Linked DNA regions of Oryzias latipes. The protein of the gene in region 2 purifies or fractionates together with the protein of the main gene of each other region. This does not show direct contact. Links are inferred from orthologs where the notes say so. Each region holds a gene or a part of one and is shown on either strand. Other genes may lie near its edges.

Region 1 (8,094 bases), on a different chromosome or scaffold from region 2:
CCACATCAAGATCCTTTTGTTGGGCTTTTGGTTCAGCGAGTTCCCGATGACGTGGAACTCAATCACTCCTCGCCGCTCCTCAAGGCGCGCAGCTTCGTCACGAGCCGAATGAGCAGACAGTAGACTTGTCTGAAAGAAAAAAAAAAAGCATAAAGCAGTGGAAATGGTTGAATTGATATTACACATCCTTCAAAGCTACCTCTGGAATGGTGGCAGGGTCGGTGATGGTCGCCATGACTTCGTTGATGAGATCCATGGGGATGTCACCCATCACCCGTGGTCTTTTGTTTTCTTCGTGGTGAAGGGGTTCAGAGGCTTTGCGTTTTTCTCCCACTACGACTAAATCCAGACAATGCAAGAAGGTATTTTAGTCACATAGTGCAAATCAAGCATATAAAATGAACCTGTCGAAAATGGACCCTGAGCTGCCTTTCCAATTTCTTTGCACAAATCCTGGGTTCCCACCTGGGTTCGACTCCAAAGTAGGGTTGGGTTTCCTGGCAGGACTGACGCTTCCGCATGTGGATGGCTCCACCGAAACCGGACTGGCGCTGTAGTACAGTGACCTCGTCACTGGGGGTGCGCTGATCACTGGGGAAGATAGACGGAAATAGAAAAGGATTCAACCACAGGAGCTTGGAATACCAAAAACTAGGAAAAAATCGTTGGGTATAGGTAGTTTTTTCTACCAGTCTGAACGGGAATCTGCCCGCCTGTAGTTCCTGCCAAAAACTCCAGACTCCAGATAGGAGAGCTGTGACTGTACACCTCCTCCTCCAACATCGACAAGAACCTAGAAGAAGAAATCAAGCGTGACTTAAACATGTAACTGCATTATTTATCAATAAAGCCAGGATTTTATCATCGGTTTTTGTGCGTCTGTGACGCACATAACGCTATAAGTTAGTTTTGCAATGAAAGTTTGAAATTGATTCAATCTTATGAAAATGTAATAATCACTCTGTGACTTTGAGTGGAATGGGTTCATAAGAATGTGTTTTTTATATTTCTAAAATATTCCTGGTCCCTGTTGTGAGTTATTTTCAAATTCTAGTTCCTTTAGTTTTAGTTTATTAGCTGGAATTTGAATTACTGTGATTTTTAACAGACAGTTCTTAATAGTTTCTTTGAAAACTTGTTCAGTTTGTCTGAATGCGGCTGCTGTCTTACTTTGGAAAGTGTGTCAGAATGAGCGTGCGCTTCTCTGGGGGCAGCTTGTCCTTCTCCTGCCTGGCCTGCTCCAGCAGCTGCTTCCTCATGATGGTGAACACAGAACGCAACAGCGTCCGACCGAAGATCTGGGTGGTTTCGTACCGCGGCAGGCTGTCGCAGAACTGGGGCACATTGCAGTAGCACAGCCACCTGAGAAAGGGGGACCCCTTACTTTTTGGATCTCTGTGGTTTGACCATTGACTGTATCAAAGAACTGGACTGAGTGACACCCCCCTCCCCGTGTTCCAAACAGGAAGTACTCACTGGCTCCAAGAAAACATAATCCCATAGACTCCTATTGAGAAAAAAAAAGCTGTTACTCATTCTATTTGTCAGAATAACCATTCTTGCTCGGCTACTTTTTATAAACATTTTATAAACACTTTCTCGTTCTCATTTTTTTCACATTGTTTCTGTTAGGAAAGTTATTCAAGTTATGAACAGATTGATTGTTCTTTGCGTGTTTTTTTTTTGTACTTCTTCCACGGTTTTAACGTGGTTCATTCTTGATAGATCTGTGAACATTTTGCGTAAAGACCACTACTTTTCTCCCCTTTTCCACACATATTCATATATGACCAATTTTCACATGTGTAATAAGCGTCACACGGCCTTTACCAACGTCGTCTGGGTCCAACATGGCAATGTCCGTATTGCGACTGAATGATGACAGAATTCACTGCATTTGGTTGGAGCCAGAACTCATTTTTTATGGGTGACATCACACTCACTCGGTCCAGTTCTCGTATACATTCAGTGGGTTTGACTGAAACCTGCGCGGGACAGATGGGTTCATGGTCGGTACCTGGTGTAGTTGACTTTGTATCCCGCCGTTTCCTCGTTCGGAACCCTCTGGCGCCTTTGAGACGGTGTTTCCAGCTGCCAGTAGTTGATTTGGTTAAGAAACATCTTCGCCAGCTCCATGATGGTTTGACGCTCTTTTGATGGTAGATGGCTAAATTTGTACTGGACAAAGTTGTTCACTCCCTATTGAATTAAAATTTAAAATAAAAAAAGAAATGAATCTTACAATTTAGTTAAAAAAAACCCCACCAGGATTTCTTTAATTCACCTGTTCAATGCTGGGTTTTTCAAAAGGAGGACTCTCTTGTGCTTCCAACATCGGTTTACCCATCTGCAAGATGGATTTCCTTAAAAGCTGAAAGGCAAGCCGCCGTTGGTGAGTGAGGTAACAGTGTTTATGAAAAAAGAAAAAAATGGTGACGCTAGAAATGTACCTTAAACAGTGAAAAGTAGACTTGTTTAGTGTCAGCATCCTCCTCTTTGTGGACACACGTGTACAGGTATTCCACGTCCAGGACGACACCTAGGAGTCGGTTCATTTCCTCTTCCGATATATTTTCTAGATGGCTCACGTGATCGCCTGTGAGGTGACAGAGGCTGGAATCTTCCAAGATCTGAAGGAGGATTATTGCAGGCAACTGGAAATACAACATACCCAGAGTGTGGGAGCAGCTGCGGCAGGGCTCCTGTAGGTTCACTGTGTTGGTCTGCTGGTCGGTTTGGGGGGGTGTGGGAGGGGGGTTCTGGCTTTTCCAGCCATTACATTTACAGGGCCCCTCAGCCTATAAGGAAAAACATTAAAATTGTTATATCTTTTTTATTTCATTTTTAAATATACAATCATAAACAAAGTTACCTATTTTATTTAGTTTTGATGATACCAATAATGAGCTATGTATGCTTTAGGTAAAGACTAGAAGATGGGACATTCCAAAAGAGGGCCTACCACCGCAACTGTTGGCGACCCCGTCTTCTGTCTTTAATCAACACTTTTTCCAAAACGGCTTTGTAATTTTGCCAGAATGATTAAATCGATACAATTGCCAATGTTCATCTCCTCCTCCCATTGGAATTATTTGAAGACCAACTCCGATTATTTTTGATAAATTATAAAAGCGTTCCCAGTTACGATTTTAGGCAAAATTTTAAAAAACGGGTCATTTTCTAGGCAGAAAACATTGGCGTGTAGCAACCCCACCTCCCTTCCCCTCCCCTTTGTTGAGAGTTCTCCGTTTACACTGTCTCCCACTAGCTCACAGCCCCTCACAACCCAGAGTTAACGTTAACAGTGCAACAAAAATGTCAAGCAATATCAGAACTATCCTTCTGAAGAGTTTTGTGCCAGACGCTAGCTCGGATAAAGAAAACGAAGATGTACAAGTCGTCTACAAATGGATGCATCAGAATGGGGGGGAGATCACGGAGCATTTCGCCCGCACAGTGTAATTTCTACATCCCAACTAAAACCTTTTTCAGACTGCATTCTTTCGTCTGCTCTTGATTCACAATGATTTGAATAAAGACTTAGAAATGCAATTTCTAACTTAATTTTCTTTATGTTTGTCTTTTTTTCATGAAAAATGTCTGGAGAACATATTAGAAAGACAAAAAATACATATTTTCATCGCGTGGTTCTTCCTAAATTCAGTTCCTGATCTCAACCTTTAGGGGGCAGTAGTCACAAACATTTTTTTGTATTAGCACGCGCCAAATAAGATTCCACTAAAATTATCTCCAGCAACAAATACGTCCCTATTTGTAAAATAAATAAACTTTTTTGCTTTTCTAATTTAATAAGTAGCATGGGTTTTGAATACTCTTTTTAGTCTCAATTGTATCAACGTTTTTTTGAGCCACAATTCAAAGTGATATGCAATTCTCAATTAAAAATTCAATTTGCAATATGATTATACGATTTAACCCTTGTGCTATATTAGATGACCCCACCCTTACATTGACGTGTTCTTCCTACCATGACAAAGGTGGATAAAGGTGGAAAGATTTCATGTAATCCATGGACACCAGTGAAGATCACAAATCATTGAAGAAAAAAGGTTCAGAGCACTGTCTAGTGGGTCTAGATGACCCAACTCCCAACGTTACAGTGCCTAGGATAGCACAAGGGTTACAAATGCATTTTTTCAATATTTTATTTTTAAAATTGTCATATTGAAATATAAATTTAGATATTGAATCCTAATTTTCAAAATGTGTTTTCGTTTTCCAAGCCTGAAATGTCAATTCACAATTAAATTTTACTCTAATCATGACTTAAAATGCCTCCATACAATTGAGACAGATTTCCGGAGGCGACATTTTGGGGGAGGAGCAGGACTGACACCGCTGTCAGTTGGCTACGCTGTTCTGCGCACGCGCTTGGAACTACAACAAACTCCGCCCACCGCAGCAGCTGTCACCCTGTCAAAACAAAGACCCCTTCCCTCTCTGCGGATCACCCGCCGCACAAGCCCAATAACCTGCTCCGTGCTTCCCCCCGCGCTCCGTTAAACGCCTCGGGCAAGCGTGGAAAAATTCCTGTAGTGGCATAAGCGCGCACGTGACCACAAACAGAAATTTTTTTTTTTATTATTTTTACCTCCGTTAGCTTGTTACTCCTAAACAGCGCGAGGCGACCCCCTCTTTGACACACAGTCACACTATAAACGCTTTCCGGGGGGAAGGCACTACTTTAAGAGTCCTAGTGTGAACTAAAACAAGCGTCACGCGCGCCGCAGTTTTAAAGACTCCCCTCTCGGTTGTGTACGGAGGACAAAAATGAAGAGGGGAGAAAAAGTGGGGCAATGGCTTCCTCTGCTGGGTTTGCATATGATAATGCGATACTGAACTATTGCAACCTAACCTCAGAGGAAAATCCTCCAAGACCAACGCGCACTACAAACTTCACTGTTCCGGCAGTCCGTCCACTGCGGGAGTGCATACTTTGCATGACGAATAAATTCCGAGTTTTTCCAGTTTCTTCGGCCGAGGCGAGGAGCGGAGTTGCGCCTTCTTCGCGACGATACGTGCGGATCCTCCAGCGGCGCCGGAGCCTTCCGTTCCCCCGGCACCGGGGGCGGCTGGGACAAGGCCGGCGGCTCCGATGGCCGGCGAGCCTTGTTGAATTCCAGCGCTGTCGGCCATTATCCCCCACAAAAAACCCAGAAGGCCCGGGGAAAGCTCGCAGCGCCGTCCGCTCTATTCCACAAGCAGAGAATCAGACATGGCGCTCATCCTTATTTTCAATTTCTCGCTGTGGGGCCGATTTCCTCCACTAGGGGGCGCAGCGCTGATCCTCTGACTTGCACACATTTCAGAGAGGTCACAAAATGCAGGCAAAGAATTTCAAGGTCATTTGTCCATAATTTTAGCACATTTTCAGACAATAAAGCAATGAAGCATAAATAAAAGTAAAAAAACACCGAAAAAATAAAAAAAATGTCAAAGTAAAGTGACATGAGGTGTATATACACAAAAAAGTCGTACCACAATGACAAATGATCACATTTATTTCAGTATTGATTTGGTCATTACATAACAGTGCTGTCAAACACTTGCATTTTAGACTATCCTTTAATGCAAATAAGTATTTTCACACAAAAAAATGCCATCTTTAAGTGGTTTTGGAATAAAATAACATTTAAAAAAATCCAGTATGGTCACAAATCGCTCCAGGCCAGTGGATTTTCATCCTTCTGAATGTGATATCTGATTGTGGTGCGTATCGAAATTCCTCTCTACACACAGGGAAAAGAACAAGGCATCATTGTCTCTGTACACACACACACGCTCACACAACACACGCAACACACAAAAGTTCAGATAAACATTTTTTTATTTGGAGAAATGGATTCTAAATAAATGCTATTTTTTTGTTAATATCACTACATACATAAAGACCACCACTGTTTATTATGCATCCTTGTGTGTGGGAAAAAAAAAGGTCCAAACTGAGAATGTAGCCATTTTTTTTAAACTACACTTTTTGTCTTCTCCTTGATTATCTAAACAACTCCCTAGCAAGCAGTAGTTGGTAAAATGAAAAGAAAAAGGGTAGACTACACTGCAACATGATATTTACAGTAAATTATTTATATATTTATATTATGTATATATTTATAATCACACCTGAAATTAGAGAAATTTTATGAGAATCATTAGTGCAAGACGTGAATAAAACCGATCTGTAACAAAAAAAAAAACAACAAAAAAAGACTGAAGTCTTAATGCCGCGGGTGTTTATGTGACAATGTGTAGGAAACGGACCAATAAGGTGTAACAGACAGAATATGAGCTGATCTAGAGCAGAAAAGAGCTCGGCGGAGAAAGTGAATCTGTTTTTGTTTTTATTGTGCAAATGTGAGTTCCAACGTGCACACACACACACACAAACGAGTGTGTTGTTTCATCTCCTTCTGAAATTCGTCACCGTTTCAGGCCCAGATTGCGGATAATGACACTAGTGTGTCTAAAGCACTTTTTTAAGATGTCAAATAATTATGATTCCAACATAATTACGAAGAATTCATACATATTGCAAAGCTCCGATCATCACTCTTTTTAACAAAAACCCTGCAACAACTGCGACAAATCCGTCAGACGATCCTGGACTTAAATCCCCCGTCTGAGCGCATGAGGGTCTATGATAAGACATAACACATCAGGTGTGGGTGAGTGAGGAAGGGGTTCCGCTGTGCAGCGCTGGTCCTGGCAGACGCTCACCTCAAGAGTAAATACTGCAAAACATTGCACAATGCCGCTATGGACAGGCTACAGGCAGGCACAGAGCCATGATGGAGCCCAGAGGTGTGGAGAGGGGAGAAGAAAAAAATAAATAGAGTGAATTTAGTGGAAGTGAAGGATACGGACAGGGTCAGTGAAGGGAATCAGATTTTAAAAAAGCCTTTTGTTTCTATCCGTTAAAGTAAAAAGGGTCGAGAGGGAGCACAGAGTTCCACCACCTCCCCTCTCAGATTCAGAATTCTTCTCCAACAGACTTTGTTAGAACACATTTGTCTCTTTTGACTTACCCAGATGGGAATTCATCATTTCCACAAATCTAAACAATGATTAACGTATTAATAAAAACAAAACAGCAGTTAGGCTTTAAGCTATTCCAGTAAAAGGGATTCCTCCACCAACAACTCTCATCTGCTTAAGCAACAGGGACGCCTGCTTCTGTTCTCAATCCATCAATTCTACTTGATGGACGAGTTGGTGGCATAAAAGTAAGACAAAGTGGTTAGGAGGCTTCATCGGGTCACGGTACAGAAAAAGTCGAAGAGAAGGGGGGGGGCAGGATGGAGGGGTTAATTGGGCGCAGGATATCTTTTCTGGCTTCAAACAATGACTGACACATTGTTTTAGTAGCTTCGGTGGCACGAGCCACATCAGTAACTAGTATGCAGGTGTTGGAAAACTGTGTTCTTCCTGTTAGTTGGAGCAGCATGGAGCCTTGGCCGGCTGGGCGGCTTCTGTCAGGTCCACTCCACGGTTCCGCCCGCTGGTGGCTCCTGGAGCCTGAGGCTCACTCTTCGGCAATCTCTTTGCTAAAGAATAAAAAGTCACAAAAATGTGAAAAAAAAAATACTTCTTTTAAAAGTTGTTTACAAATAAACTATTTTATTTCATTAAAAAATAGTGACGTAGAACCAGCCGACATTGGATTATGCAGTGGATTATCTCCCTGCAGTGACTCATGTCTGGCGGATTTGATGAAGCCATGATATTCGTCAACGCTCTATTATTGCTCAATTGAAGAATTGACTTGTGATCACAAGTCTCAGTAACACACCCACTGTGCAAGCACTTCTATGCAAGAGAATACAAACATGCGATCGACCACAATGTCTCCTATTACAATAGAAAAACATGAATTCATTTGAATTACCCACCAATTGCCATAAATATCTCATTGACATTCATCGATGTCTTGGCTGAGGTCTCCATAAACAGCAAGCTGTTGTCGTCTGCGTAAGACTGGGCGTCCTGTTGAAACAACACGGAGAATCCACTGAAGCTAAACATCCAGCAAGCGTTCCGGCTGTCAATGTATTTAAGCATCCGTGGGATTTAAATAGA
Region 2 (8,012 bases):
CAATCACACGTCGTCCTTGTGACCAATCAGACGTGGGGAACGTCCTCACCTGTCTCCCCGCTCCACCTAAAACAACAGCTACAGGGGTTTCAGAGTCTGTCCGGCATCAGCGCCTGGTTTTCTCATTTCCCATGATTCATTGGGATAATCTCCTATGCTACATTTACACCGGGCTCAGAAATTTGGACCTCCTTGTTCAAAACCTTCAGGTTCACGATTTGCTTTGCAAAAGTTGAACTTTGACCAATCAGGGACTCGATTTGGAAGCGGCTCATGACCGCCACCTTTTCTCCTTGTGGTGAAGTCGGAGCTGCATTTGTGAAACCTCCTCTGCCATCAAAGGTTTCTCAGATGAACAATTCCTCAAATATCCACGATCTGAACCTCAAAGTATCCGCTGATCAGAGAAAAACTTACTCCGCTGATGACGTAAACAAAGTACGGCAGCAAGGCAGCGATCTTGGAGTTGGACTGGAGGTCCAGCAGAGCCACCTGCGGGGCGCAGAGACGGGATGAGCGGGAAAGGCTTCACTCGTCCGCGTGAGACCCGGCGGGGGCTCACCTTCATGAGGTGGGGGTCGTCTCCCAGGATGGCTCGAGTGATCTGCTGGTAATACTTCAGCAGGTCGTCCGACAGAGACTGGACTGCAGTCGGTACTGTGAGGAGCCAACATTCAGAGACAAACGGGTTTCTGCTTTAAGAAGAGAAAACCTGAAGGACTTTCAACGGATTCTAATTATGTTCTAGCTAAAGGTTCCTGGTAAATGATGACTATTCCTCTAAATGCAATAATCACATCCTGAGGATCAGCTGTCCACATCATCCGTTCTTGAAGCTGTTGATGGAGGAACGTCAGCTCCTCTGAGGTTTTTAGGCGGTTCAGTCAGAACTCTCTGCAGTGTTTGGACCTGGGGCTCCTTAGGCCCCCCCTTGATGACTCACTGCAGTGAATTTCCCCAAGCAGGCGGTAAAAAAGGCGTCCTTCACACGTACAGCCGGTTCTCACCTGCTCCCTGGAGCTCCACGCCTCCTTTCCCATCCAGGTAGGCCACGTTCACTGCCACAAAGCAGAGGCGCCGCGTTCAGTGCGAGCCTTGGCTCGTGTGTCCGCACGCGTGCTCGCATACACACCTCGCACCATGGTCTCAGCACAGCCTTTGGGGATGTTGGTGGCCAGAGCCAGCTCGATCAGGTTGATCTCCCGATCGTCCACGAAGAAAAGCTCTCCTTCTTTCCCCGAGCGGAAGGGCAGAGCGTCCTGGGCTCCGTAGCCACAGACGGCCTGATGAACAAGGGAAGATGTTGAAGGAACGTCCACTTTCACTCACCACAAAAACACTCGGCGCTTACTTCCACATTGCTCCACCGCAGAGCTCTGTTAAAGTCTTCCACCGTCAGCTTCTTCCGTTTGGCGTGTTTCATGAACTGAGAGCAGCTCTGAGTCAGACAAAGGTTGAAGTTAAAGTTCCACTACCTGCCCCACACCTAGGTGTGTGCAATTTGTTCTCTGCATTTGACCCCTCCCCTGGGGGAGCGGTGAGCTGCAGACACAGCCGCGCTCAGGAACCATTTGGTGGTTCAACCCCCCCCAATCCAACCCCTTAGACATTGGGTCCCATTTTTAGAGTCTTAGGTCTGACTCTGCCTGGGTTTGAACACCCGACCTTCCAGTCACAGGGCAGACACTCTACCACAAGGCCACTGAGCTGGTAAAAGCAAAACACCCCCAAAAGGAACAGACCCCCATTTAACGGGACTGTAACCAAACGAGCCAGCAGCGCTAAACCACAGATGGATCACATTCGTCGGTGTTAACTTCAGCATCGGACGATGTTTTTGTAGTCCGATATTCTCCAGACTGTTTTCAGATACACTTTATTTTGAAATGTAGACTTGTTCCTAGTAGATCCCTGCCAAAGGGGAGCTTATGGTTTACAGTTGTGTCCAATATTCAATAAATGATATTTATACAAAAGTTTTAAAGTGATCCTTGGTTGTATGTTAAAAAGGTCGATGTGATTGTCCAGTAAAAACAAAGGTGTGCGATTCTAATAAAGGAACAAAAAGGAAATCTAAACTTTGTGTTATTGTAGACTGTAGACTTTTAACCGGTTCCTCTTCAGGTTCCTGAGCTCCTCAGACACTGATTTCAGCTGCATGTCTTAAAGTCTTGTTCACAGCGGTCTCTGTAAGGTCTGGTGTAAGGTCTACAAGTCCAGAATCTTGTGAAGTCACGGTTCTGTTCCCGGTTTCCTGCGTGCTTTTAGGCAGCACTCACCTGAGCAGCCTCTCTGAGTCTGTAACAGACGTCCTCCGCCAGCACGGCCGCCATCTCCTCGCCAAGTTCCACCCCTGCACTCTCAGCCATGAGAGCCACCGATTCCCTGGAGACCTGAGCAAAGCGCCGCTCCTCCCGCTCGGCCATGGTTGCTGTCAGAGCTGCGAAGGGGACCGAACGACACGCCGAAACCCATTGATGGGTCAATTCACACACTACAATCACTGAATTTTCATGTAATTATATAAAACAGCAAATATAACACAATAAAACAGAGAAGTTCATCCATTTCCCCAAACCTTTCATGTGTTCAGACTAGATTTTAAAGTGCAGGCGTCAGCGGGAAGTGAGAGTAGCCGTCACGCCAAAGCCCAAACCTGACTAAATGAGCTGAAACTAACAAACGGAACGTGGAATAAAACGGCTCTTTGTGGTTGGCTGCGGCTGAGGAGGCGTCCAACAGCAAACAGGAGTCCATCCTCTCTAATCGGCCATCAGAAAGCGGCGGGATTCTAGCGTTGGACGATGAAAACCTTTAGGATACGCTGATCAGATCAGCATGTGGCTCAGGTTTGACCTGGCAGTCACATCAGGAGTTCAAACTAAAATGATGCAGAATTCCCGCCCTAACTACTAAAATCTATATAGTGCAGCTCTATGTAGAGCCCTGAATTTTACAAGTCATTCAGACGCCACGCTCACTACTTTTTTCTTTAAACGGCGGATATGATGTCATCGGTTTCAGAAGGTTAAAATCTAATTAATATGAGTACTTTGGGACGATTATGAGTCCACTGTCTTCTGAAGAGAAAAACGTTGATGGTTTATTAAAAAAATACATTTATTTGACAAAAAAAAAAAAATCTGAAGCAATGCATTGTGGTCTATATTTGCATCGATGCACACAGGTTTTTCACAGAGACTCCTGGGAAGTTTCCAGGGCTCTGGATTTGTAGATCAGGACAGCACTAGAAAAAGGGGGAACACAGCATCTAGTGCAGTATTTACTGAGTACTGACGGATTCGGACACAACCTGATTTAGACTTTACTATCATTTTAATACTTGCTAGTTGGAGTATTTGGATTTATATTAGGTTAAAAATATTTAATAAAGTTATGTATCCATGTTCATGTTTTTATGACTTTAGACTGAATGACTTCTCTGAAATGTTTTTATTCTGCATTTATTTTCTTGTTACTCTGTATTCGTGACATATATTTACATTCATGCTTTTGACTCTAAAGGCCAGCCGGAAATAACAGTTACAGGGTTCGATTTTCCTGAGGCACAGATATGATGATGAAAGCTTTTCTAAGGGGTTTGACACAAAATTCTGCAAATCTGTCAACATATTTCAAGCCTTAAAAACAACCAGCAGCCTCACACGGACGTACAGAGTCAAGAGAGCTGAAAGCTGCTGATGGAGAAAGAAAGAAGCTAACTATACAAAGATTGAATTGTTTCAGTACAATTGTGTTAAGGTGGTGACAAAGAAAAACATTTAACTGGATAGAATTTTGTATCTATCATTTTAGTTTTATGTAACTCAACATAGAGCAGCTTCGCCCTGAAGGAACGTGAAGAAGAAGCATCGCTAGCGGCTAACACAGCAACAGCCGCTTGTTTAGCTAGCTCGCCAGAATAAACAGGACAGAAGTCACAAAAACCAAAACTTTTCAACCCAAACCAGTGAGAATGTTTTACAGAACTGGGACTTTACCTCTTTTAAAGAATGCATGGACAAATATCCTGAAGAAACGCGCGAAAAGCTACTGCGATTTGGAAGAAGGCTGTTGCAGAGCCATTCTCGAGGATGTTCAACACAGGATTTCCGCTCAAATTTTCAAAATAAAAGCAGCTCACTAATCCTGATTGTGCGCCTTTTTTTTTCATTCCTTCCCCCCGAAAAACTTTATTAACAATTGAGTTATCATACATAGATCAACAGTAACTATATGAACAACGTTATAATTTTGGGACTGAAAATAAAAACAGCTTTTTGTAAAATGTACTAAAAAGTGGTTTAGTTTGCAAACATTTATTTTTGTGAATATAAAACTTTCCTTTCAATATCAGGACATGAAGAACAATATTTTTCTGGTTCAATTGGGTATTTCCACCAGGATTTTGCACCGTGGACTGTTCAGTCAATCCCCTCTGGGTTCAAATGTTTTCTCTTTCATAGATTATCTTAAACACTAACGATAGTATTACTAATTTCATTTTAAATCATGAACAAACACTACATCAAAAGTGAATGTCATCAAAATAAAATAACAGTCCAAAATGTCACATGGTTATGTTTTGGTGATGAAATGCAGTTACTTTATTAAAGTTCATGTTTGAAATTATAGCTTAATTCTTTTTATATACATGTGCATCAGTCCGCTTATGGTGGGGCAGTGGTCAGCACTCTCACTTCACAGCAGGAAGGTCCTGGTTCAAATCCCTCGCTGGGTTTCATGTTTCCCACTGTCCCAAAACATCCTCCATAGGTTAATTGGTGTCTCTAAATTGCCCCCAGGTGTGCACACGAGCGTGTGATCCCGCGACAGACTGGCGTCCTGTTCGGGGTGAACCCTGCCTTCACCCAACAAGCCGGGTCGGCACCAGCAACTCTGTGACCCAGAAAGGGATTCAGCAGGTCTGGAAAATGGGGGGGGGGGTGCAGAGCTTAAAAAAAGGTTTTATGTTTCAATTTCCTTCCTAAAAAAGTACAATTATTTATTTCTATGTCAAACAGTTTTCCTAAAAATGCATGAATTGTTGTTTAATATTTTATTTCTTAAGTAAACTGGGAGTGTGTGAAGTTTGATTTTAATTTGAGTTCAAATTTCATTTGGAGAATGTTGAAGACTATAAATTCTTTACTGCTGTAGGAGTCTGAATGAACAGAGGAGGAGGCCACCTGCTGGTGAGAAGAAGCTGGTGGAATGTGGAATTGGTGTTGTAGCTGCTGCCTGAGATGATGATCATCAATATTTAAGGTCAGGCTAAAACACAAAGGAAGGTAGCTGTCCTGTACAATGCTAAAATCATGGAACAGATTTGATTCAAATGATGACATTTATTGAAAATCCTCCATAAAAGTCCTTCCAGCACCTCTAAAGGTTCAGAATCTGGATCATTCTGTCGTTAGGGTGAACCGGGTCTCGTGCTGCTGACTTGAAATCTTTAGACGTTGCTGCTAAAGTCTGCGTGTGTCCCACTCCTCACAATGACTTACTCTGCTATTTGGTCTGAGTGTGAATGCAGCATGTAAAGTGAAACAGACTGCGTCCTGTTCAGGGGGGATCCGCCTTCGCCCAGAAGAAACCCAGTAACCTTGAAAATAAATGGACTATGAAAAGTACCCTTTGATATTAAGGTCAGGGGTCATTGCTGGCCAAACCTTTGAGGCCACGCCCACTTCCTGAAGTCCAGCCATTTGGTGGAGATCATCATCATCCATGGAAGTTGGAGATGTTCTGGTGGTTCTAAGATGTCTCTGAGGTCAGAACCTGCAGGGACCGGACCGTCTACAACACACGTGTCAAACTCAAGGCCCGGGGGCCAAATGTGGCCCGCCATGACATTTTATGTGGCCCGCAAGAGCATAAAAGTTTTAAATTTTTAAAAATAAAAAAGAAGATTTAGTTGATTACATATTAATAATGTATAGCTGCTGTTGTAATTGTTCAATGTTTGCAGCTTTTATGTTTGAATGCAGACAAATTGTTGTCATCAAACCATCAGTTGGATGCAAAGCTGTGTGCAGCCTTTTTGTCAAATGTTGCACTATAATTTATGTTCTTTGCAGCTCAGTTTTATGTTGTTTTTCTTTATTCACTTGGACAGTTTGATCCTTCATTAATGGAGTTATGTGGGTTTTAATAACCAGACAATGTTTAAAAGGATTTATGATAGGGTAACAAGCAAGCATATGTTTAATATGCAACTGTAATTGTCACTTTAAAAAGTTATAGTAAATAAATAAATGAGTTATTTAACATTAAGGCGTAGTAACATTTATTTTTTATTGCATTTAGTTACATGTAGAAGCTATATCTGGTCCTTTGAGGACAGACACTATGCTGATGTGGCCCTCGGTGAAAATGAATTTGACCCCCCTGATCTACAAGAACCAAATGGGTTTTGTGCTGATTTTAAAGTTTGGCAAATCCTTCCGTTTGTCTCAAACTGCAGAACAGCTGTTCCTCTATCCAAACAATTCATCTGATGACGTCAGAGCACCGATTCTGCTGGTGAAGGTTTGAACTGACGACATGAATTTAAATCTCCAGAGTCTCTAAATGCTCCTCTGTCCATCGTTTTCAGACCAAACGGAAAAAGCACTTCTGTAGATTACACAATCAGAGTAGTGCAGCATCTTCATCATCCTCATCGTCTCTGCTGTGCGCTCAAGTTTGCATTTTTTTATTAACATTGTTTTAACATTGTTTTAAAGATGGCACGTTGCTGCGTTCCCCGCACACCTTTCAAGTCGTCCAAGGCTGGATTTTATTGTTGGACGTATTTAAAATTAAACTTAAAGTCCCAAATGTGTTGAAGGCTTGCTGTCCCACATAAACCAGAGAGGGTAAAAATAAAAACAAAGATAAAATCAGGGGACCTTTTTTCATTTTTTAGGCAGCCCCTAAAGGGGAAAAACAAACTGAAGTAAAAAAAAAGAAACGCAGGCTGAAACGACCCAATTCCCATTTTTTTGCCCCTATGCGACATGAATCTGATCATTTCATGACAGTCTGAACAACACAGATCCGATCTTTTCAAATGCGACCGCCGTCTGAACGGCCAGGCTACATGTAGCCGACCCGTACGTCATCGAGACGCTACAAACATCATTCTGCGTTGAAGTTGGCGGGATGAGAACATAAACATCAACCATGGAGGACGATGCTGCAGAGACCAGTCAGTGGAAGGGAAGCAGGTCACCGATTGGATTCATATTTGGGGTGACAGCTCTATTCAGGCCAAACTCCAGAACTCTTATCGCAACCGGGCGGTTTTTGAAAACATTTCCAGTGAAATGGCTGAGCGTGCGTACAGACGATCCTGGATCCAATGCCAGCGAAAAATAAAAAGCCTCCGAGTCAAAAACAAGGAGGTTAAAGACCAGAACAAACGAAGTGGCCGTCAAAGAATCACTTGTCCATTTTAGGAAGAGCTGGACTGCATTTTGGGGGATAAGCCCAGCTACGACTCTGCACCCACATGTTTCTCTGTACCGACGTTGCTAACACTGCTCCACAAAACGCCATGGCCACAAACCTATCCTTTTTAATTTTCTGATTAAGATTGTAATTGTGCTGGCTCCTTTGTGAAAATAAATGTAATGCAAAAAGAGCTCCGCTTTGCCACTGTTGACATCCATTGTTAACGTTAGCTACAGGTGACGCCGTTCACTGTTGAGGACTCTTCTGCGCATGCGGGTCACTTCACGTTCACACGGGAGATCACAAAAGTTCACATTTAATTGGAAATGTGAACGGCCTTGCAAAATAAAATAAAAATACTCAAAATTGAGCATTAAGCCCTGCAGTGTGAACGTAGCCTTAATATTCAAGTTTACTTTAGTCAAACACATCTTTGATCCAAGTTTCCCCACATCGGAGGAGACTTCCAAACTCTTACGCCGTGCTGGAAAAGTCAGAAATGCCACCAAATCAGATTTGAGTTGGGAAGATGAGCAGTTATCGGTTCAGGTTGGAGGATCCGTGAGAAGAACCTG
Region 3 (8,151 bases), about 2.3 Mb from region 2:
CGAAAGGAACCTAATCCACAATCATCTTCATAAAACATCTGGTGTTTTTTTTCTTTTTTGCATTTACACATTTATAAAAACAAAAGCTTTAAAAGGCAAAAACCCGTAATTTCAACAAGCTTGTGAGGGAAGCGGAGCGAGATGCTAGGAGGCGTCTCTGGAGATCCAGCCGCTCTCTGTGAGGAAGGTGAGGATGCGCTTCTTCAGGACCTTGTCCAGGTAGCTGGGCAGGCGGCTTTTGGCGGGGATGCCCTGCCTCTTCTGCAGGTGGTCTTTGATGATGATGGTTTTGACCGTCAGGTATCGGGCGGGCGTGAGGTTCAGCGAGCTGCACAGCATCTTCTCTCTGTCCGACAGCAGCTCGAAGCCGGCCAGGTTCTCGATGGCCGCAAACTCGCCTTCTTTACCCTCTTCTTTAATCCCGCCTCCCAGCCCCAGCACTCCACCCACACCCCCTCCCCCGAGTCCGATCCCGGAGCCGAGGCCGCCCCCCCCTGAGCTGCCCCGTTTGGAGTTCACCACGCTCTTGTTCTCCTTTCGTTTCTCCCTCTTTTGGCGCGCTGCGTCGTATTCGTGCGACTCTTTCAGGCGCGTGATCCCGTTGCGGCGGTAGCGCTGCAGCTCGCGCACCTTGGCCCTGAGCGCACGCTCTTTGTGCATGTTCTCAAAGAAGTCCTCGAATTCCCGATGGGCCATGAACTGGCACAGAGCGCGCAGCCGCACCCGCTGCTCCTTCTCCTCCTTGGTGATCTTTCTTTTGGGCGTGGTCGGGATGGGAATGGATCCTGCCGCTGTCGCAGAGCCCACCCCCACCGCTCCGCCCACCCCAGCTCCGCCCACAGAACCCGAGCCTCCAGAGAGCCCCAGCCCTCCGGGCTTCTCCTTGTCCTTCTTGTCTCTGCCCAGGAAGACGGGCACCAGGTTGTAGTCCCGAGCGATGTTCTTCCGCCGCTGCCGCTCTCGGAGCTTGCGCACGTACATGTCCACGTGCGCGCGCTTCAGCTCGATCTCCACGTCTTCGTCGTCGTAGTTGACGGACAGCCCGCTGATGAGCTTCTCCGCGTCCTGGTCGTACTCGATTTCGTAGTCGTCTCGCAGCGGCATGTAGCCCAGCTGCTGCTGCTCGGCCAGGCTGATGTCCAGGGGGGGCAGCGGGGTGGTGAGGCTGGGGGACAGGGGGCCGCCGCTCGGACAGGTGTGGTCGGTCACGCGGTTGGGGATGCTGTCGGGGATGCACGCCTTGCCCAGGTTTCCGTGGATGTACATGGTGACGTAGTGCTCCATGACCTCCTGAGGACTGCGGGACGCCCCCACGTGAGCGGCCATGTCCTCCTGGGGGAGCACAAGACACAGGAACGATGAAGAAAACTTTGCCTCAGGACAGAAATTCAGCTCCAGGTAAAAGTAGATGCCAACTTTTAAGTCCCACTCTAAACATTGTCTTTTTCAATAGCCGGGCAAAAATGCATTCAGTCTGCCACCACTTGTTCAAGTTCTCCCTCATAAAAAGATGAGAGAGGCATGTAGTTTTAGTCATAGGTGAACCTCAACCATGAGAGACTAAATGAGGGGGGAAGAAATCCAGAAAATCACATTGTCAGACTTTTAAAGAACTTATTAGTAAATTATGGTAGAAAATAAGAATTTGGTCACCTACAAATTGCTGGCTCTCATAGACCTGGAATTTCTCCTGTGAGGGGATCCTCTGTCCTCCACTCATTACCTGTATTAATGGTACCAGTTTGAACTGGTTATCTATAGAAAGGACACCTGTCCACAACCTCAAACAGTCACTCTCCAAACTTAACTGTGGTCAAGAACAAAGAGCTGTCTAAGGACACCAGAAACCAAACTGTTGACCTGCACCAGGCTGGGAAGACTGAATCTGCAACAGCAAAGCAGCTTGAGGTGAAGAAATCAACTGTGGGAGCAATTATTAGGAAATAGAAGACACACAAGACCACTGATGATCTCCCTCCATCTGGGGTTCCTGTCAACATCTCACTCCGTGGATCAGAATGATCACAAGAACGCTGAGCAAAAACCCCAGAACCACACGGGGGACCTAGTGAACGACCTGCAGAGAGCTGGGACCAAAGTAACAAAGACTACCATCAGTAACACACGACGCCACCAGGGACTCAAACCCTGCAGTGCCAGACGTGTCCCGCTGCTAAAGCCAGTACATGTGCAGGCCCGTCTAAAGTTAGCTAGAGAGCATCTGGATGATCCAGAAGAGGATTGGGAGAATGTCCTATGGTCAGATAAAACCAAAATAGAACTTTTTGTTAAGAACTCTACTCGTCATGTTTGGAGGAGAAAGAATGCTGAGTTGAATCCACAGAACACCATAAGCATGGGGGTGGAAGCATCATACTTTGGGGCTGATTTTCAGCAAAGGGACCAGGACGACTGATCCATGTAAGGGAAAGAATGACTGGGGCGGTGCATCGTCAGATTTTGAGTGAAAACCTCCTTCCAGCAGTTGGGCATTGAAGATGAAATGGGGCTGGGTCTTTCTGCATGACATTGATCCCAAACAAACGAAGGAGTGGTTTCATAAGAAGGATTTCAAGGTCCTGGAGTGGCCTAGTCAGTCTCAACAACTCAACCCCATAGAAAATCTTTAGGGGGAGTTGAAAGTCCGTGTTGCCCAGCGACAGCCCCAAAACATCATGGCTCTAGTGGAGATCTGCATGGAGGAATGGGCCAAAATAGCAGCAACAGTTTGTGAAAATCCTGTGAAGACTTACAGGAAACGTTTGACTGCTGTCATTGCCAACAAAGGGTATATAACAAAGTACTGAGTTGAACTTTTGTTATCGACCAAATATGTGATTTTCTGCATTTTTGTTCTCATCTTGTCCCTCATACACTCATCTACTTACTTAAGAGGGAGAACTTGCACAATTGGTGGATGACTAAATGCCCCACTGTATTTTCAAAGCATAAATAGAAAGTAGCTGCTGGTTCCAAGAAGCCAAAATCCCATAGACTTCTACTGAGAAACAAACAGCCGTTACTCTGTCATTCTATTGGTCAGAATCAACATTCTTGCTCTGATACTTTTTTTTAAACATACTTTTGATCATCCTAATTTTTTCTGTAGTGTAATTTATTCAAGTAATAAACTAACCAATCAGATGCCTTAAAAAATAAAAATGAAAAGAAAGATTCTCCGGCTTTCAGTGGAAGGGGTGTGGACTTCCAACAAGCTCACTCCTGATTGGTGAGAGCGGTTGCCATCGGAATGTTGACTCAGACCAACTTGGACCAATCACTGTTGACTGACAACGTCTGGCTCCAACATGGCGACTTCCATATTGCGTAAAAATGGCGACTGAATTGCCTTAATTTAGCTGAAGTCAGAATTAAGTCGCTTTCCATGGATGAAGTCACACTCACTCAGCTCTCATGAAGAGTCAATGATTGCGCTCTGCCTTTGCCTAACAGCAGCTGGGATAGGCTCCAGCAACCCTGTGACCACAAAAAGGGGTTGATTGGGTTCAAAAAATGGATGAAACGTTTGACTTTAGTTACGGACCGTAACGGTTGTCACTGCACGTGCCGTTCACACAGTGATAGTATGTGTGCGTCGCAGTGCTGATACTTTAGATTAGAATTCGGAACCAGGAACAGGGGGACTTATCCGGACATTTGGGAGCCAACAGCATCTTACGTCTTTGGATCAACTTCACAGCTTCGTGAAAGCTACCGAGTGATACAAGTCCCCCAAAAGTACCACCTGGCAGAAATAAAGCCCGTAATAACATTATTTGATCGATCAAGAAAAACGTATCAATAATCGCCAAAGCACCTGAATAATGTCCTGTGATAATTTGATGGGAAGATGTTTCTAGAAGACAAAACACAAACGTTGATATTTGTACCTGTGATGACAAAGTTCTCCAATTGTTCTATCCAAAAATGTTATCGTTAAGACGTTGTTATTTCGGTGTTCAGAATTGAAAGCTCTACCAGATCTGTGGCCACCAGATTTGGTCTCTGGGTGTCTTGTGGTCCCAACATTAGTGAAAAGGGTTCATGAATCTGCTTTTACAAAGACAACTGGAGGAAGTTTCATTTAAAATGAACGGATTCTGCCAAAAATACTGAATCTAACCTAAAGAATTCATGTGGTTTAAGTCACAAAGTGAAGGCTGTCAGCTGGTTGGAGCCGTTTTAAGGCTCTGAACCCTAGAATGAAACGTTTCCCTCCGTGGTTCCGGGGGTTCGGTCTGCCAGGTGAACGTCTCACCTGTCAGTCACAGTCCTGCTACTTTCCAAAAAAAAACCGACACTTCTCTGTTAAGTTTAAACTATTACCGTCAAACTGTAGAGACACAAAGTTTATCAACTTATCCACCAAACCCGGAGGAGTTTATGAGGAAAAAAGCTCTAAACAGATGATGTCAGTGATGATGTACCCAGTTTCCGAAGCCGTACTGCTCGATGGCATCGAGCAGCGACTGCTCTTCCCTGCTGGTCCATCCTCCCTCCGCTTCGGGACCCCAGATCGAAAAGCGCCCGCCGTCGACCTGCTGGTAGCCGTGCCACCTCCGGTGGTTACCGATCTCTGCTCCCGCCGAGAAGCACTCCGGGCACAGGTCGATATCGGTGCACTCGGTGCACCGGAGCCGCAGGTTGGTGACATCGGCGAGGCAGTTAACGCAGTACTTTTTCCCCAGGTCGGCCATCTTGGCTGGGCTCCTGCTTCTTGTTTGTTGGAGGCGGAACCTCGCGCCTGCGCACATTGAAGCGTGCGGCGCGCGGCCCGTCATTGGCTCTTTGCCCCAGTTTCCAAGACAACGCAAACTAAACTCAAAGCGAGCTTTTTTCTCACCAGTTAGCAGTTTCTTTAGAATATTTACATTTTTCCAGCGGTTTAAACCCAAATGGAAGAATATTATTAAACATAAATATGGTGAAGGAAGAAAAAAAAGGTAAAGAAGAGGAAAATAAGGTTTCCAGCTGAAGCATCAACATCACAAGGGGACCTGATGAGCAGGAAGGTCATGGAAGAGGTTTCTGATAAAACACGTGACGTCACAAACAGCAGCAGGAGTGAGGTTCAAACCGGGTTCAAACCCGCTGCAGGGAGGGACGACAGCCCAGAGGCACAGCGAGTCCTCCAGGAGCTGGAGAAGGAGAACGAGGACCTCTCCCAGAGAAGTAGACAGCTGCAGAGGAAGCTGGCAAGATACGTCTGCAAAGCTGCAGAAGCAAACGCCAAGCTGAGGAGGAGCCCAGACCTGCCCAGGGACCGGTACGAGTACGAGGTCTGCATCCGGACCCTGAGCGCCCTGAAGCAGCAGGTCACGGCGGACTCAGAGTCCGCTCACCTGCAGGCCGAGGAGCTGAGCTCACAGCTTCAGGAGAAGCTGGAAAAGGTTGGTGTCTGCTTGAAACTGCACTCCTGCAACTTCTGACAGGAAGTCAATAGTTTGGGAGTTTACAAAAAAAAGAGTGTAGTGCAGGTACAAATGTAGATATTAAAACGTCAGATTTTTCAACAGTTTTGTCTGGATGAATATTATTTATATCCCATTTTGTCAAATGTCAAATGTGTTTCAGTAAAATAGGAGTTTTTCTGATGTTATGTTTAAAAAAAAAACTAAAAGTGTTATAAAGGTTAAAGAAAGTCTCTCATTTATTTATTTTTAGAAAATATTGATTCTAAAACAGCCAAAGATGAGTTAATGTGCAAAAAAAATGTCATTTTAACTTCAGTTCTGTTTATATGACTTTTTTTTATGTAACCACATTTCTAAATGTAAATAACTTTAGAAATGTGGTTCCATGTTTAAAATATCCACCTGTTTACTCAGTTGAGGACTTGGGGGCCCCAGGGGAACAACAGCATGGTGCCCTCTGCTGCATTTTTATTCATTTTTTCTTTAAAAATCCGAACCCATAGGGTAAAATGTCGGACAACCTCCTCACTGATCCACTTTTAGACAACATCAATGTCAAGAATCCAAATGTTTTGATAAAAATTTTAAAAACTTAAATGTAAAATAAAATGTGTTTCTTTATAAACATTATTTTTACTTGGAAAAACATTAAATTTATTAAATGCACTAATTTCATAATCCTCCACTTCCTAGAAGGAACAAATGTCTTTTCTTTTCTTTTTGTCAGGTTTTGCTAAAGAATAAAAAAACTTGAATGAAATAACAAAACAGTACAAAATGACATCTATAAAAAAAACCAAATATATTTAAAGTTACCGTTTGCTTTTCCTCCCTATGGCGTCCTTTTCTCATTTTTTTTTTACTCTTTTACTTTTTTTTCTCGCTCTTGTTATTTTATCCATCTTCCAGCACTTTTGGAGGTTTGGTAGCAAACCTCTTGCTTTCTTTAGTCCTCTTTTCCCTCTGCTTCATTTGATCACTTTTTAAAAACTGTTTTGAATCATCATTTAATCTCTGCCAGTGTTGCCAGATAGAGTCTTGGTTTTCCAGCCGAAAACTCACCTAGAAACCACCAGACCCAACAAAAAAAACAACAACCAAAATATTAATCAATGATTAATTATCAGTAATTAATCATCCATGATTTATTACTTCCTGATTTAAATGAAAGTCCAACTTTAACACATTTTTAATGATATTGCATCCACCATGTTTGCAGTTAGTCAGAGAAAAACATGAAATATTGGATTTCTATTGAACTTTACTAGCAACCACTGATGTTTTCACTTGTTTGCTCATCATGAACAAAAGTGGAAATTGTTTCTTGTATTTCGACTCTTCACGGATTTAGGTGAGATCAAATAAAAGCAAAAGTCCTCGTGAGACGTAAGAAGGAGGACTTTGATTTGTTTACACACACACATGCATTTAAAAGCAGGTGACGTTCACAGAGTATGTGAGAAAGTCATGTCAATCAGCTGAAACAGTCAGATTAGAGCGCCATTCCAATCAACCCGAACCCCTTTGATCATTAGGGAAATGTTCCAGCAGGGGGCGCCATAAACCAGTGAAAAACAATGTCTTTGTTCCTGAACTTGGCGCTAATTCTTTCCATTGGAAGGGTTTTGAAAATGTCTGTATAGATTTATAAAATAGCATATTTATTCTTTCTAGTCACGGTTATTAAGGGTTCAGCTTGGGGCCCTGGAGAGTTGGGGGCCCCAGGCGATCGCCCACCTTTGCCTATAATGTTAAGTTCGCCCCGGGGTCTGAATTAGAAAAGCTTTTAAACCTGAAACTTTTTTATGGTTTTCATGTTAGGATGATTAAAAAGCAGCATTTTTCATGAAGTGATCTGTCATGTGCACCTGCCCCAGAGCATGCTGGGAGGTTCCATGGTGCCTTCAGGTTCAGAAAGAGGTCTGCCCTCCACTAAGCTGCATGTGTGGCGTACTGAACCTCACTCTGGCATCCTGAGCCTCACTCTGGCGTCCTGAACCTCACTCTGGCGTCCTGAACCTCACTCTGGCGTCCTGAGCCTCACTCTGGCGTCCTGAACCTCACTCTGGCGTCCTGAGCCTCACTCTGGCGTCCTGAGCCTCACTCTGGCATCCTGAGCCTCACTCTGGCGTCCTGAGCCTCACTCTGGCGTCCTGAACCTCACTCTGGCGTCCTGAGCCTCACTCTGGCGTCCTGAACCTCACTCTGGCGTCCTGAGCCTCACTCTGGCGTCCTGAGCCTCACTCTGGCATCCTGAGCCTCACTCTGGCCGCTCTCTAATGTGTGAAGATCAGAAAAACTGTGTAAAAAAAAATCCACCATAAGGATTTGAAATCCTCAAAGTCCCGCTCTGAACTGTCTCTGAAGTTATTTTAAACGCGTTCCCAGTGGTCTTTTAATTATGATTTTGTTGTTTTTAGCCAAAAAAAAAAAAAAAACATGTTATTTTCTAAGTCATTCTTTCTGCAGAGCGGCATGAGTTTATTACAAATTCACCTCTGAGTTGTGATACAAAGACTGGGAGCAACATTGAAGCTTTCCAGTTCAGATGTTGGATTGAAATAAAGACGAACATGTTCTGTTTGTCTGCAAGTGGATGCATCAGAATGGAGCAGAGCAAGTAGCTTTCCGCCTGCCCAGCGTGTTTTCCACGTTACAAATAAGCTCCTTCACAACAGTTTGAATACAGAAATACTCAGAAAAGCTGTTTTAATGATAGTTTTCTTTATAAATGTCC
Region 4 (7,874 bases), on a different chromosome or scaffold from region 2:
GTTACGCAAAACCCAAAAAACAGAGGAAGACCTGAATCAGGTGAAGCCACAATAAAACACAACAACACGAGTTCCCACAGCTATTCAGCTTCTTTGCCCCACGTTCTACATGAAAAAAGTACGGTGGCCTTAAGGTGCAAACGCATTCAAGATCACAACAACAATTTACAAAGTCAAAAACTAAAAAATTATTTCAAATAAGAAAGAAAGATTTCAGACAATCTCCTGAAATATTAAACAAAGAAAGAAACTGGAAGGGGTTGGAACTATGGGACATCACTGATTGGATGATGATGTTTTGAGAAAGAGGGAAAGGAGGACGACTGGAGCAACGGCTGAACTTTAGCGGTGGCTGCGGCCAGAAGCTTCAAGAAAATATCTTCTGTCGGAAGATACCACCATGGCGTATACTTATATAGCGCTTTTCTACCTACAAGGCCCAAAGCGCTTTACAGTCACACACACATTCACACACTGGTGGCGGCTCTGCTGCCAAACACCAGGCCAAGTACCTTCCTGTTGAAAAGTACCCAAACATCATATGATCACGGTCAGCTATGCCCCACAATTCCTGTTGGTTTCTGGAAATGACTTTTGTTTTTCAAAATGTTCTTTTTTTTATGTATTTAGTTCATGAAAAGCAGAATCTGAAAGATATACCACTATAAATAAAATACCAAACCGCTGAAATGCTGGACGCAATCGCCTCATTGGGCTTGAAAAGTATAAACGCCACTCATAAGTTTGTCGCAGTTTAACGTGGACAGTCACAAGTAAAACCCCATTAGGAACTAGACCGCACGATTGGTCGGGGGCGCCATGCGACTGATAGAACGGCCGATCGCTCTGAAGCAGAAACCAGCCTCTACAGTGAAAACATGAATTCAGGTTCAGACAAAGAAATCCCCAAATCAGTGAGAGAAAGCAGACTGAAGGAAATGACTTTCTGTTGAGATGAGCGGTTGATCCTCTGCTTTACTGCAGTGGATCATGGGTATTATCGGGTGAGGTGGGGGGAGGCACACTCACGCGGACGGCCCCAGGAGGAACACCCTGACGGCCATCCTCTGCTCGTCCGTGTGCTGAGGACATCGCTGAGACCTGGAGGGACACAAGGTGGCATTACATGACCCTGACTGACGGCGTGCCCACACCCACCGCACAGCTCCACGCCTCACCCCGGGGGAGGCTTCCCATGATGCTAACGCGTCTCCTCAGGCAGACGGACGCATTAACCTGCGTTTCTGAGGAGGAGGGTAGCACGATGGAAAGCGGCCCCGCATGCAGGAGGTGGGACGGACTGCTGGGAGCCGGTCAATGACCAACACCAAGACGTTTGGTCAACGACCGGAGCCGTCTTGGTCCAACTGACGCTGATGTTTGTCCGCTTTTATGGAAGACTTTTGCAGAATTTGGTTTTTGTTTTAAAAGGGAGAAAAGAAAAAATCTCCAGGTTGCCACTTGTGTTCCCCTGAGTTAGTCTCTACACACTCAGCGTGATGACAGACAGGTCGACCTTCCCAAACTACAGGGCAGGAAGACGACAACCCTACAGCAGGTTAGTCTGACAAAACAACTACAAGTTACAACATCCAAACAAGAAAATGCTCTGAAACTAGAAAACAACTAATAATTTTGGATATTTCCAACTACCTTGTACACATCTTCTTCGTGTGCTCTGATATGACCCCACACTGCTGTGATAAAAAAGACAAACACACACACAGACATGGTACATTATGCTGAGAAATGAAATTTTCCTGCTGATGTGTTTAAGGTGCTCACTGTAGTTAGAAAGGATCGGACTTCATCAGGGCCCAACATCTCATAATTGATGCCAGCGTTGTAGTTGTACTGAAATGGAGAAAACCCCAATCAGTGAGGTGCACAAAAACGCCCCACAGCCCTGCACTCGTAATGGAGGAGAGGCGTCAGTCACCTTGTAAGGATCTGCACTCATGCTGCTCCCAAGCTCACCTGGAGGAGGAAACGTGCAGCTCTTCATTCACAAAACTGAAGCTTTGTGTTAAATCACGTCCGACAATCAAGTCAATTCTACTGTCATTTGTAGTCCGACGGCCTTTCTCTTTACGGAACTCTTATTTTGAAAAGCCCACTGAGCCGTTTCAAGTAAAACAATACATTGAAACTTTTCACTGCTAAGCCGTTAACTTTCTCCTTTAAAAAAAATGTATTTTTCTACTAAAATATTCAACTGCAGGCCAACAAAATTCTAACCAAAAATAATCTAAGTATCCCTCATTTTAATGAAATTTTAACAAGATGAGCTTGTAGAAGAAATTTAATTAGACTGAAGCAAATAGTACTTTAACCAGTTTCTCTCTGTTGGGAAACAACATATTTTTGATATTTGTTTTAACAGGATGCAGATTTCTGACCCACTTACCGTTTTTGTGTTTCAGAGTTTTTGATCTTCTTGGGGAATTTTGACTCTGCAAAGAAATATGTATTGTTTTAAATAAGACTATTTTACAGAATAAAACGAATAAATTGTGTCAAAAGGTGATCAAATCAATACCTTGTCCGATTTCCTTTTCTTTGCTGAAAAACAAAGTGTGCACAGGTGTGTTTATTTTGTAGCGTCACCGTCCGTCTGTATTTTGACGTTTCCACGCTCACCTCTTTTTTCGGCTCCGTATGACCAGTCGTTATCGTTAAGGTCATCGTTGTCTTCTTGGTCGCTCTCCGATTTGCTCGTGTTGTTGTTGCTGGCGAGTCTGGCCAAAACGCAGAGGAAAACCGCGAGTGTGAACCGAATCAATAACAGCGCCTGACTCAAACGGTCGCCACCGACAAACCTGCGGTTGGCGATGCGGCTGCTGTTGCGTCCCATACCCAGACATTTCTCCAGGTGAGGAGCAAAGCGGGAAGCTGCGATCAGTCTTTTACAGTTGGGACATTCACACTCTTTGTTCTTCCACTGATTGTACACCTGTCCAAAGATGTCCACTCCTGGTTGGTCCACGATTTCTGAAACACATTTAAAAAAAACAAAAAAACAAGTCAAGCAAACACAGACAACGATAAATGAACAGAATCAATTGGACCGAACGGGACAGACCAAATTCTTTCATGCTCTCTTGGTCCGTTTCATCCAGAAAGAAGTAGCCCTGCTTCACAGCACGATGCACCTCGAAACACAGGCCCAAACACGCATCTTCCACCAGTTCAGAGTAGATGTCGTTCACCAAGGCCTGCCAGCAGACAAGACACTCAAGTCAAAGAAAAATGGTGGGGTTATGTAAAATGACCAAATGAGGTGATGGGGATTCACCTCCAGCTTGGTGTTGTCTGGGCCTGAGAGAGGCATATCCTCCATTTTCATTTGAAAATCTATCCAGGATATCTTGATATGGAGGTGATGAGCTGGTGTCCTTCAAAATAAAAGTTCAACAATCATTTTAAAATAAGAAAAGAAAAGGTTTACTGGAAACAAGAAAATAAAAGTAACAAACATCTTACTTTTACTTTGAATATCAAGCCTTGTAGCAAAACTTTCTTCATTCTGATCAGGAGAAGGAAACAGAGGAGGATGAACAATCTCCAAACAAAACAAATGCAGGTGAAGAAGCTTTTTCAGGGGAAAAAACAAACTTTATTTAACATAAGCAAGCTGGAAACTAAATAAATACTCCATGGTAGCTCAGCCTAAAAATACTACAGTAAACACATCCAGCTGGGTTCAGACAAACTTCCATTAAGTAATAAATAATTGAATTTTCCATGTAGACCAGGTTATAACCGCTTTCCCCTCCTATTTAATGAGAAACAGGAGGTGTAAATGAGTTCTTATTTATTAATTTTTTAATATATAATTGCATCTGGTCGAATCTAGATGTTATTATACTAATTATACTTTAAATTGTAGGAATGTAAAAGCACTTTCTTCCTTTTTTATTATTAACAGTTTAAACACAAACATATTTAATATGTTTAAAAAAAAGTATTAGTATTTATGCCTACAGACAATCCTTGGATATATTTTCCTCGTTTGTCAGACGGTAACCCTAAAAGAGCAGATTGATAGCATCAGAATTCGAGCGAAAACTGTTTCCTCTTCTTACCCGGTCGTGCCAACAACAACTCAGCCTGAAGCAGGCGGTTTCTCTGGGAGAAGCCACATAACCGGTTCGGTCCGGATGAAACACGCAGACGGGATGCTTGTCCTTAAGTCGCAGCCATCGTTACGATTTACGGTTTTATGCTTCTGTTGTCCGAAGTCAGAGCTGCCGCAGGTGGAGGTTAGCTTAACTGACGTTAGAAACCCGCTTGACATCGAACAGGCCGACAGCTTGGCCACACACAGCAGTAAAGCGAAGAAGAATAACACGGACGGGCTTCGGGTTTTACTTTCAAAAAATAAAAGCTGTATGTCGTAAACGGTGTTGGATTTAAAGACAAGACTTTGGGATTTGGTCATAATTTCTTCTTATTTACTTTACAATTATTTACATATATCAAACTGTCAACCGCGTCACAGAGGAAAATGTAATTCAGAAGAACTTTCTTCAAAAAAAAGAAATTACTAAATTACTCTGAAGGTACATATATGTGCTTCCGGTTCTATTGTCACGCTTGATTTAGAACCTTCCTTTATTAACTTTAGCTATAGATTTTATAGACTTTCTATAGATTCTATAGACTTTTAGATTTTATTATCAAATATTGTGGTTAATATACATCACGGCTGCTTAGTACTTGCCCCATTCAGAATTTTGAATATATTATTAAACATAAATGCCTTCCAAATTAAAAAAGTGTATTAGATTTTACAGCTTTTCAACATCAAATAGTTGATTTTAGGGTTTTCTGCGTGTTCTAACTTTGAAAACAAAAATTTCCTTATTTAGATAAGCAATGCTATGATTTGATTCAAACGCATATGGATTACTGTTTGATGAAAATATTTCAAAGTTGCAAACTGGAAGCAAATAGTTGAACATCTCAGACAACATTAAAAGTGTTGAAATGTCGTTTTCAGTCTTTGCATCCTTGATATTCATGGTAAAAAAAAAGTGAAATGTTTTGGTTACATGGATGTTTTGCCTACTCAAAAACATAGCATCTTTTCAAGCTTTTTTGTTGTTTATTTGCTCAAATACTTGAACTACAAGGACATAAGAACACCCGGCCTCAGCTATATAAAACATCAAATTCTGTCAAATGGTCAGCAGTACAAACTTGTAAAGCTTGGCTGTTATAGAGATCTCTAGAAACCAACAGCTGGCAGAGGAACAAAAAACAAACGGGTGAATTTAACCAAAAGTTCCTCCTGAAGAGTGAAAGACTCACCGGCTTCCAATATCACAGATGAGGGTTTCCAAAAATCAAAGTACTAACAAAATAATAAGCACTCGATACAAAAACTGTATTTACAGGGGGAAAAAATTACATTTTTTATACTCCAAGTCCACTGGCAAAAGCAGTTCTGCAAATCCCTTTTCCAGACCTCCCCATGTCATTTTCCCTTTCCCTCTTCCAGGTTTGTCAATAGTCTGCGCTGGTTTTGTTTAGCGAGGAGATTCGCTGCGGTTCCAATCCTCCAGATCGATGCCTCTCGCTTTGTCTGAAAAGCCAAATCTACGGCGACGTTCATTTAAAGTTCAAGTTATAGGTGACTCGACAGTGAAGACCTTTGGACGAGGAAATGTCAAAAAAAATTGAAGAATATCTACATTCATGGTGTTGGTATGATGTCCCACATACATACGTGCACGCCGTAGTCCCATGACGGTGTCCAACAGACGGCACACATTAAAGCAAAGAAACACACATCCTAAAACAGTTCTGTGCGTGCGTGCACAAACTCAGGACAGATTTACAATAAGTGCACACTTTTTTTTTTTTTTGGATAAGCTTGAGACGGAAACCCATAAAGCCAACCCCTTAAAAAAAAAAAAAAAAAAAAAAAGTAAAGATATCTGGAGAGGGACAGTTTTAAAACAGATTGAGAAATAGATGCATCGGATTTAAATAATTTTAAAGAGACAAACAACTTCAGTTGTACAGTCACTCTGAGGTCTGGACAAGCGGCTAGTCAAAGTCCTTAGAGACTTAAGGATCCAAATTCTTGTGATCCACAGACAACCGTTCTGTTTCCAAAGCAACAGAGTGGATGTAAAGAGCTGCAAAGACGCCGGTTTCTGAGGAGGATTTCATTTAAACACACACACAAAAAATAAAATAAAATAAAAAACGAGCTGATCGAGGAAGTGATCACTGCTTTTGAGTTTAAGGAAGAAAACATTTTTTTGTGATTAACCTGAACTTATTTGTTTCAGGAGAATCACATTCTGTAAAAGTGACACAAAATCCTTAACTGGAGGTGATTACAGTTACGGCTTTAAACCTGTTTAATATGTCAGATTATAAACAGTTCAAACCAGATGTGAATTCTGTTCCGACATGGAATGGGCTTATTACAGCTAATATTTACATCCACCAGGCCTCGATAGGTGCGATCAGACGTAACAGTTTACAAAGCTGTGGGACAGAAGCCTGAGGGCCGGCTGAAGGACAGCTGATCCTGAAAGACGAATGGAAACCGAGCAGAAGTTTGTCAGGAAAACAAATAGGATAAAGAAAACATGAATATAATGTATGCATGCATGCTTTAACACTGGGCTTTTACTCTAGCAGCATTCCCCTAAATTCACTGAAACTGGAACATAAAAATAAAGGTGTATCGTTTACATCAATGTTTGTTTATTCTTGTAACAGCCAGTTGTGTAGCTGTGGTTTAACGTTTGACCGGTCGGCTAAAATTTCGAATCCATGCATGCGGCCACGTTGGAAAGACTGAAACAAAGAAGAAACTTTAAAAAAAAGATCCTTCAGAAGCTAAAACTCTGCTGTTCCCGGTCTGAAAGCACCTATCATGCATCTGTAAAACATGAGGACTTCCATGGTGGGTTTCCAGTTTCCAAGAGAAACTTAATGTGACGTTTTCCAGCAACAGAAGGACGTTTATCATGGCTTGACTTTCTTTTTCCTGAAAGAAATACCACCTCTGTCAGAACCAAACTATAAAAGCTACACAACTCGAGAACAGAGATCCGAACAAGACAAACTATTAAAAGAAACATTCTGAAGAGTGCAATTTCTCAGCGCCCCCCCCCCCCCCCCCCCCCCCCCCCTAAATGTGATCCACTGTTCCATTTATTTGGGCTTCATGAAGCCAGTTAACCAAGACATGCTGCCCGTCTTTGAACCAGAGTACTCAAAGAAGCGTCGGAGGGTTGTAAATTACCCAGAGTGCCTAAGGGAACATAAATGGTGAAGACCAGGAACAGAAACGTCTGTGTCCTCACCAAAGCAGTGGAATGCTGTTTGTTTTGTTTTTGGCTAATCGGCAGAGTCAACCAGTGCCGTGAGACGGACACCACACCTGAGGGGAAGAAAGAGTTCAGAGGGAGGGTCCTTCCATGGGTTCTGATTCTGACCACAGCAACATAAAATGGGTGCGTGGGATGGAGTAAGCGGTACAGTGGCTCCCTCTAGTGGTGAGAGGAGAGCAGGGTTGGCACAGTGGCAGAGCTCCCTGGACTCTTGGCTCAGCTCAGCGCTGCTCAGTTCCTTCCACGGTGTGACGCCAGCACGCGTTAGTCTGAATCCGAGTCTGACGAGCCGGCAGAGTTTGACTCGCTGCTGCTGTCTTCAGACTTGTTCTCCTTGTCCTCTGCTTCGTCGTCGTCATCATCGTCATCATCATCATCATCGTCGTCGTCATCTCCATCCTTCTTTAAACAGGATCAGCAAACAAAATAGATTTAGAACATCTTACTGTCTGCCAACCCCGTATTTTATCCAAGTGAGATGTTGCTCACGTCATCGTCATCGTCTTCATCCTCACT

Evidence for each region.
Region 1: the proteins of taf6l (region 2) and histone acetyltransferase KAT2B purify together in Homo sapiens (affinity purification with mass spectrometry; 5 studies listed by BioGRID and IntAct, counting the BioPlex papers as one, with this or other methods). This does not show direct contact. The link is inferred for Oryzias latipes from reciprocal best matches to the Homo sapiens genes TAF6L and KAT2B.
Region 3: the proteins of taf6l (region 2) and tada2b purify together in Homo sapiens (affinity purification with mass spectrometry; 3 studies listed by BioGRID and IntAct, counting the BioPlex papers as one, with this or other methods). This does not show direct contact. The link is inferred for Oryzias latipes from reciprocal best matches to the Homo sapiens genes TAF6L and TADA2B.
Region 4: the proteins of taf6l (region 2) and atxn7l3 purify together in Homo sapiens (affinity purification with mass spectrometry; 6 studies listed by BioGRID and IntAct, with this or other methods). This does not show direct contact. The link is inferred for Oryzias latipes from reciprocal best matches to the Homo sapiens genes TAF6L and ATXN7L3.

Annotation. Positions count from the first base shown.
Region 1 is NC_019869.2:22,460,650-22,468,743, forward strand, and holds the start of histone acetyltransferase KAT2B, read right to left. Parts: upstream 5,285-8,094; 5' UTR 5,158-5,284; coding exon 4,957-5,157; intron 3,524-4,956; exon of another isoform or gene 2,873-3,523; intron 2,799-2,872; coding exon 2,672-2,798; intron 2,597-2,671; coding exon 2,451-2,596; intron 2,372-2,450; coding exon 2,285-2,371; intron 2,200-2,284; coding exon 2,018-2,199; intron 1,363-2,017; coding exon 1,171-1,362; intron 794-1,170; coding exon 690-793; intron 592-689; coding exon 466-591; intron 340-465; coding exon 200-339; intron 130-199; coding exon 1-129. Other genes in the region: ras-related protein Rab-5A, read right to left, coding at 7,447-7,562, 7,908-8,001. UniProt on the Homo sapiens protein: Functions as a histone acetyltransferase (HAT) to promote transcriptional activation. Has significant histone acetyltransferase activity with core histones (H3 and H4), and also with nucleosome core particles.
Region 2 is NC_019876.2:29,105,443-29,113,454, reverse strand, and holds the start of taf6l (TAF6-like RNA polymerase II p300/CBP-associated factor-associated factor 65 kDa subunit 6L), read right to left. Parts: upstream 4,142-8,012; 5' UTR 4,002-4,141; intron 2,441-4,001; 5' UTR 2,427-2,440; coding exon 2,280-2,426; intron 1,439-2,279; coding exon 1,352-1,438; intron 1,284-1,351; coding exon 1,133-1,283; intron 1,059-1,132; coding exon 1,008-1,058; intron 658-1,007; coding exon 563-657; intron 493-562; coding exon 418-492; intron 1-417. UniProt on the Homo sapiens protein: Functions as a component of the PCAF complex. The PCAF complex is capable of efficiently acetylating histones in a nucleosomal context. The PCAF complex could be considered as the human version of the yeast SAGA complex.
Region 3 is NC_019876.2:26,803,275-26,811,425, forward strand, and holds tada2b (transcriptional adapter 2-beta), read right to left. Parts: upstream 4,801-8,151; 5' UTR 4,782-4,800; coding exon 4,428-4,781; intron 1,333-4,427; coding exon 145-1,332; 3' UTR 43-144; downstream 1-42. Other genes in the region: ccdc96 (coiled-coil domain-containing protein 96), read left to right, coding at 5,001-5,390. UniProt on the Homo sapiens protein: Coactivates PAX5-dependent transcription together with either SMARCA4 or GCN5L2.
Region 4 is NC_019866.2:4,611,088-4,618,961, reverse strand, and holds the start of atxn7l3 (ataxin-7-like protein 3), read right to left. Parts: upstream 4,371-7,874; 5' UTR 4,086-4,370; intron 3,527-4,085; 5' UTR 3,484-3,526; intron 3,396-3,483; 5' UTR 3,347-3,395; coding exon 3,296-3,346; intron 3,216-3,295; coding exon 3,083-3,215; intron 2,992-3,082; coding exon 2,820-2,991; intron 2,739-2,819; coding exon 2,641-2,738; intron 2,563-2,640; coding exon 2,540-2,562; intron 2,454-2,539; coding exon 2,408-2,453; intron 1,978-2,407; coding exon 1,940-1,977; intron 1,855-1,939; coding exon 1,786-1,854; intron 1,698-1,785; coding exon 1,654-1,697; intron 1,102-1,653; coding exon 1,030-1,101; intron 1-1,029. Other genes in the region: ubtf (nucleolar transcription factor 1), read right to left, coding at 7,623-7,760, 7,848-7,874. UniProt on the Homo sapiens protein: Component of the transcription regulatory histone acetylation (HAT) complex SAGA, a multiprotein complex that activates transcription by remodeling chromatin and mediating histone acetylation and deubiquitination.